Linked DNA regions of Xenopus tropicalis. The protein of the gene in region 1 purifies or fractionates together with the protein of each later gene. This does not show direct contact. Links are inferred from orthologs where the notes say so. Each region holds a gene or a part of one and is shown in the gene's direction. Other genes may lie near its edges.

Region 1 (3,829 bases):
GAGGGAAAGTCTGATGCCAGCTTAGGGCCTCATTCCCTGCCTGCGTTTATCTGCAGACTGGGAATCAGACCTGTCTGGCATTAGCCTTAGATTTTACGATCCACACTATTTGAATGGTTAAACCTGACTGGATGCAATCTGTAGCCTTTGAGAGGGTTGCTAAAGAATCTGAGTAAGTGTGGTTATAAAAGATAAATTCTGTTACAGTTTTCTTTCTGGAAAGATAAAACCGTTTTAAATGGCATAGGGTCTGAGAGGGAAAACTCTACAGTACCTAAAGGGCTGTTCATTTTTGAGTTAACTTTTACTTGACCTTTACTTAACAAGTAATCTTTTAAGACAGTTTGCAGTTGGTCTTTATTTTCTTGTTTTATTTTTTTGCAATTTTTTAGCTTTTTGTTCAGAAGCTCTCCAGTATGAATTTTCAGCATCTATCTGGTTGCTAGGGCCCTAACCTAGCGACCAGGCAGTGGTTTGAAAAAGAGACAGGAATATGAATAGAGAAGGGTCTAAATAGAAAGTTGAGTTATACAAAGTAACAATAACATTACAGTCTTTAGAAAGAGCCTGAGATAGACAGGGTTTGAGAGTGTTGGTTGTTCGTTGCCAACCCTTTTATTTGCTGTATAACCTTCATGTTCTTTGTGTTATATTGACACAGTTTCATTCTTCAGAACTGCCCTTATTGTCTTTCCTGTTTACAGTTGAGCTCTAACGGAACTCTTGGCCTTGTTGTGTTGTTTATAGCTGAGCTATATACCTGACCTCTAGGTGCCACACAATAGAACAACCCACCTTTGCCCCATGTTCCCCCAACTCTGCTGTATTTTTCTTCCCCTCTGTTTTAAAGATTATATTCTTATAATGACATTTCTACCTTAGCTGTGTATGCAGTGATGGTATATACAGACAGCTAACGCAACAATTCATTCTTGTGTATTGTCTGATATGGAACGTTAAACTCTCCATAAAGTATGTAGTGTGAAAACTGCTAGTATGAAATATACAAGAAAAAATGCAGTGTACATTGCAGATGGTGAGGTTGGTTACCCTTCCATGGAACCTCCTTTATTTTAATATATGTATGCTCTGGAAGGGACCTATTGGTAAATAAAGTATTAGAGATTATTATATGGTCTCCCTTATATATTTATACATCATATCCCCCATTAAGCGCCCTTTTTCCAGCATAAACAGCCCCAACTTTGTTTTTTTTGTAATTTAGACTTCCATACCCTTTACCAGCTTAGTTGCCCTTGTTTAGACTCTCTCTAATTCAGTAATGCCCCATTTAAGATCCCTGCTTCTGTGTATACTTTTTCTGCAGGTTACCTTCAAATCCGATGCTCCAACAGGAGATGTTATGCTTGATGAAGCCTTAAAACACATAAAGGAAAGTCCAACTCCAGAAACTGTACAAAGCTGGATTGAACTTCTCAGCGGTATGTGTTACAATTATGTCAAATCCAATTCTGCTACAATTGCTGTATATGATTGCTATCACAAAATTAAAGACATGTAGACATTAATATTGTGAGACAGTTTGTAATTGTTTTTTGTTTTTTTTGTGTTTTATCAGTTATTTAGCTTTTTGTTTAGCGTCTCTCCCGTTTGGGATTTCAGCAGCTATCTGGTTGCTAGGGTTTTGTTTACCTTAGCAACTAGGCAGTGGTTAGAATGAGAGACTGGAATATGAATAGGAGGGGGCATGAACAGAAACATACGGTTTAAAAAAGTAACAATAACAATATGTTTGTAGCCTCACCGAGCAAAGGTTTTCTTGCTGCTGGGGTTAGTGACCCCCATTTGAAAGCTGGAAAGAGGCAGAAGAGAGAGGCAAATAATTCAAAAAATAAATAATAGGAATAGGGCATTCTTCAACTAAAATGTAACTTAGAGATATACTGACACCTGAAATTAATTTGTTTTTTTTATATGTATTATAACATTCATTGTCTTGGCACAAGCTTTTTCCATAAAAATATTACCTGATGCTTTTATGTAACCTATATGATCCCCCATGTTCCTCTATGAGAGAAATGGCCAACATGGCCTATAGGGAACTTTTAATGTACATTAATATTTTGAAAAGTAGTTTTTTAGTATCACTTTAAAGGTGAACCACCCAAGTTATGTTGTACAAAGAATAACATTGGGCTGCTGAGAAACCCAGAGGCCATAAAAATCCTCTTGGGGCTGCATCTGGTTGGGCAGCCCTGCCATGTGTAAATAGTACAGTAAATAAGGCTGCTTTACTGGTCTCGGATACAGCAGTGCTGTGCAGTTAATACTGAATATTTTATTCCCCTGAGCTGTGTATCTGTTTACACCTGGTCTTGTGAATTCCCTGTGTGGATAGTATTTCCCTTAAATTTGGTCAGGCAGCTTCTCCCTATGACACACTCAACCTTCCTCTGGTATGGCAGTATTTCCTTATGCACATACTCAAATAAAGGTGGCCATACGTAGGCAGATTCAGCTCCTTCAGTCTGAGTCGGCAGCGTATCTACCTGTGTAAGGGGCTATCCAACAGGCCTACCCTACCGATATCTGCCCGAGAATCGCCCAGATATCGACAGGCTTAAAAATCTTGTTGGAGCATTGGCTGGCTGATGATGATCCTTGCCCCAATGGCCTGTATTCCCATTATAGTGATCTGATAGTTTGGTCCTAGGATCTTTTTTTATTTATGGCCAGCTTGGCACTCTAAAGCAGCAATGATGGGCCCTTCTGGAGTTTATAAATGTTCTGTGTATTGCCAGTGAGCTAATTTATCTAGACAACTACCTAATAATAAATTGTAATGATCCAAAAAATAGGAAAAAAGCTTCAGCAGGTTTGCTGCAAAACATTTATTATGGGAATGGTTACCACTACCCATAATAAATGTTTTGCAGCAAACCTGTTAAAGCTTTTTTCCTATTTTTTGGATTTCTAAAATTGTATTTGGTTGCAGCACAGAGCAACAACTAGGAGCTAAAGCTTTTTTTTGAGCTACCTAATAAATCTAATTCTCCATCCTGTAATAAGTCCTGTATTAAAATAAAAATGATAAGAGAACTAAGGCTGGATAATAATCAGTGTTTGTTCCATCACAAAGAATAATGTTTTTGGGGAATTTTAACAAAGCAACAACAAATATTTCTTGCAGAACAAAGTGCCAAGGATTCTGCCAAATTCTTTTCCCTTCTTCAAATAAAAATGTCATCAATACAACACATCCTAGAGGTCTTGGGGTGGTGTTTCGCAGCCGTAATGGTAGCACCTAGGGCAAAATCCCATTTTCAGAATTTTCTTCATTCTGGAATAAAAAAAAGGACACTTGATAATGACAGAAGGGAATTTAATGCAATACAATAGATAACCCAGAGAAGGAGCTGCTTTGGCACCCTGATTGTGTGAAATACAGATCAGTTATTAATTTCTCTGGTTTATTGTACTGGGGAATGTTAATGGATAAGCAGTAACTGTTTGCATGGAACTTTTCCCACAGAAACCTACTATGGGGCTTCTGTCACTCACTCTCTTCCCATCTAGGTGCCAGCTAACTAAATATTTGAAGTGGCATCTGGCTGGTAAGTGGGGGTGCAGGGGGCACAGATGGAAATTAAATTGCCTTGTGCTGCTGTTGTCTGTGTGAAAATGTGTAGCTTTTCTGTACATTGATAGAAAATGTGTATTCCAGTATCTGGAAACCCATTATCCAAAAACTCCAGAAATATGGGAAGGCTATCTTTCATTTGATTTAAATCAAATTAAATGTTTACAAAAATGGATTTTCTTTTTCTCCATAACATTAACAGCACCTTGTACTTGATCCCAACTAAGA
Region 2 (3,829 bases), on another chromosome or scaffold:
TCATGTATATCATTTAGGGTGAGATTTCTGGGAAATGCCCATTTGCTGCCCTAGATATACCTAAACCTACCTAATATCCAGCTTGAAGCTCAGGGTAAGGTTTTGGGTAAAACTCTATTCGCTATCCTATGTAGTCTATGTAACCTCAGCTAAATGGCTGAAACACCAGTGTTTTTTTTATATCTGTAGTCTCTTATTATGAACTTGTCGGGTGGGCGGCAATGTGCAAAAACCATCAGTGTCAAAGGACTGATTTTAAAATGGAGAACAAGGTGTATGTTTAACCCCATCAGTGCCAGGGTATAAGTGTATGGTACCCTAGGAAAGCACCTACTGATTACAGGGTATACAGAACAATGAAATCATTCAGTCTTTCTGTGGTTATAGGATGATTTTTTTTACCTTTTTCAGCATGAAAACACAACCAGTATAAGGTTCTGCCACAACAATGGTCTTAGATTTACATTACCTTTTGGCATCTGCTTTTTGTGTTTGGTGCCAATTTTATTCTCCCTTTTCACTTTAATTTATCTTAATCTTCAGTGTTTTAAATAAGATATTTTATCGTTATTATATAACTGCTTCCTCCCCTGCAGGCCTTTACAGGATAAATGGATACAAATACAAAAGACATAACAGCTACATATATAGACAAACATTTAACCAGAATGAAATTCCAGTTACAATTACATATTGTTAGGAGACAATAGGGAGAGGGCCCTGTACACAGTTAATCTAAGGTAGGTTTTCCTTTTGATAGTGAAGAAAGTACATAGTATAGTGTTAGAGAAAAAAGAAACCATCTTGTTTCTTTTCTCCATCTTGTTCATATCATTTAATATTAGAGGGGTTGTGAAATACATTGTGTAAGAATGTTTCTGTTTGCTGTTGTAAAAACATTTTGGATGAGTCCGCAAACTTGTGAAAAGAGGCATGTTGGGTGTTGGTCAACTGGGCCTCTTTGCCTGTTCTGTTCTTAGAGATAACAAAGCTAACTACTGATAAGACTGTTTCAGGACTATAAGACAAACATGCTTTGGGTTATTCAATGTAGTATCAGCTCATAGACAATTCTCATTTAAGAATGTCTGGATACTGCCTTCGTACGTACGAATAAAATGTAGCTACAATCAAACTGGCCTATCCAACAGTTTTTCCTTGACAATAGATATGAGAAATATACTTAACTGTACTCTTCTTTTGTAGCATGATTAATTTACCACTTACGTTTCCACAGGTTCCTGCAGGAATCAAACAGCGCAATGCCCTGCACCTGGCACACATAGGACATCACCCTTCTTTGCTAAGAGCTTTTTATCTTGGGCATCATGAAGCTAAAGCAGCGGGTCGCTGTCTTGGCTCTGCTGCTGGTGATTTTGGTTCTCACCAAGCTTCTTTTATTGGACCGCCTGGAGACCTCTGCTGCTCAGAGGCAGGACCAGCTGTCTTTTGAGCGTATGATGTCCGGCTTACGGCTCACCATGGACTCCCGTTTGGAGCATACCCTGCAGTCCCCTTGGGAGATTGCATCCCAATGGGTCGTGCCACGGGAAGTGTATCCTGAGGATAGCCCAGAAATGGGAGCAGTATTGCATTCTATGGCAACCAAGAAAATTGTGAAAGCTGATGTTGGCTACAAAGGCACACAGCTTAAAGCTTTGCTTGTCCTGGAAGGTGGACAAAAGGTGGTATTTAAGCCCAAAAGGTAGGAGTCTAAATCATTGCTCACTTTCCTTTATGTGTGCTGTTGTGTGCATGCTTCACTGATCTCTTGCTGCTTTTGTGGAAAGGCATAATATTTTCCATTTACCTATGGCACAAGCATAACCCCAGACACCATTGCTGGGTACTGATGTGTGATAAATACACTGCTATTTGTTGTGGTGCCATGGCACACACTGTACAACAAATATTGTACACTTTAAAACTGAAACAAATGAATTGCACTGCATGGGAACCCTGTATGTAGCACCAGTTACTGATTTTTAACCCAGAGCTATTCAAACTGGAGTGTTCCATAAGAATCATTACTATAAGTAACCACAAACACTGTAGGCTGCTTACATTCACAACCCCATCCAAGTGTAAATAAACTCCTTCTATTAGTATCCCTCTGATGAGTGTGAGCTCTCTAATTTACATCATATTGTTGCTCACTACACTGTAACAAATTGAACACATTCCCATATTCTGGTTAGTTATTAACATGACAAATGTTTGTGCTTGAAACAATAGTAAATACAAATAAAAAGCAACTACTTAGATATTTTCTATAAAATCAGTAGAAATTATGCTGAAATGTTTTCTGCATATTGTATTAATTAAAGCACTAGTGGGTAATTCTTATGTTTTTACATATATATATATATATATACTCCATCCCTATAATCAGCTGTTAGCCATAAGAGACATAATGAGTTCTGCATTAACATCCTCTGGCCTCTGCCCTCCCACCCTTTGCTGTGGTACCAGCCTCGGGTACTGCTATATGAGTGCCACACCATCTTCCAAGTGCCCTCTATTGGGCTTGTCCAAGCACATGGTTAGCACAGAACACTTTATTTCTGTACTACACATGCACCATTTTATAACTGGGGTAGGGGACATCCTGAGGGCTGAATAAATAGATGACAATGTGACGCTCTGAAAACCTTAACCTGGAAGAGCTTCGGCCCAGGGTAATAAGTGACAAGAAGAACAGTGGTGGGCCCTAATAACTTGCCTACCCCCGATTATATTACCTTCTCCTTCAGCTAAATCCTATTTCTCTTCTGACAGGTCTGATATCTGACCTGAAGTAAGCTGCCAGTACCTGCAACATTTCCCAAACCTAATATTGTTCATTTAGCAACCTTACACCCCTCACTGACAGTGTTTCCCATAGCAACCACTCAAATTTGTGCTGTCATTTTATAACATTTAGGTTAATCCAAAACTGAATGCTGTGTTTGTAATGGTAAAAGTTCCCAACATCACAATTACATTCTCCTAAAGGCTCCCGTCATAGCTTCTGAGTAAAATATGGCTACCAAATAGTTGCATTTAGTTATATAATAGCTACAGGGCTAAAAATGAGCAAAGAGCTGAGTTGGCCATGCACATGTTGAAACAAGAGCTGATTATGTATATCTGAATTCCATTTAGCATGGCTTCTTTATAACTTCATTTCTGTCATTCCTATCTGTAGTTTCTGTGCTTGTAATCATGGAAAAATTCATGTAATATTTTGTTTGAATGTTTCAGATACAGCCGTGATTATATTGTGGAAGGAGAACCGTACGCTGGGTATGACAGGCATAATGCTGAAGTCACTGCTTTTCATTTAGACAGGTGGGTATGCGCAGTACTTCAACCAGTGATCAGGTTCAAACAGGTATCATAGTTACTGAGTTCCCAATCTGCTTTCCAAGCATCTGTGAGGCTGGATACCTGTCATTTATATGGTAGCAACAGCAACTGGTATACTTCCATGGGAAATGGACTTCATTTAAACAAAACAGGAAGTGTTCTTTTGTTGGCTAGAAGGACTATATTGTCAGGTACAAAAAGTTGCCTTCGGCCAAATAGAAATGTCAAGCTGCCTCGTACCTGCATACAATCAGCATATTTACAGACCCCTGAGGAGAAACTTTTGTCTATCAAAGATTCGCTGTGCCCTCTAGAACTTTTTCTTCCTTAGTATTAGTTTGCTAAGGCATTTGCTAAGGTGGCCAAACTGCACTGTCTCTTGTAGTTTAGGATATGGCAATCCCTTGTTTAAAAATTGGCAATCTGTATTTGTTCTCCAAAGAGCTGCAATCAGGGACCCTGTGGCTGTTTAAAGTGATGC

What was found.
Region 2: the proteins of golph3 (region 1) and fam20b purify together in Homo sapiens (affinity purification with mass spectrometry; 3 studies listed by BioGRID and IntAct, with this or other methods). This does not show direct contact. The link is inferred for Xenopus tropicalis from reciprocal best matches to the Homo sapiens genes GOLPH3 and FAM20B.

The regions. Positions count from the first base shown.
Region 1 is NC_030677.2:200,758,961-200,762,789, forward strand, and holds part of golph3 (Golgi phosphoprotein 3), read left to right. Parts: intron 1-1,327; coding exon 1,328-1,442; intron 1,443-3,829. UniProt on the Homo sapiens protein: Phosphatidylinositol-4-phosphate-binding protein that links Golgi membranes to the cytoskeleton and may participate in the tensile force required for vesicle budding from the Golgi.
Region 2 is NC_030680.2:99,822,343-99,826,171, forward strand, and holds part of fam20b (glycosaminoglycan xylosylkinase), read left to right. Parts: intron 1-1,237; 5' UTR 1,238-1,328; coding exon 1,329-1,705; intron 1,706-3,243; coding exon 3,244-3,330; intron 3,331-3,829. UniProt on the Homo sapiens protein: Responsible for the 2-O-phosphorylation of xylose in the glycosaminoglycan-protein linkage region of proteoglycans thereby regulating the amount of mature GAG chains.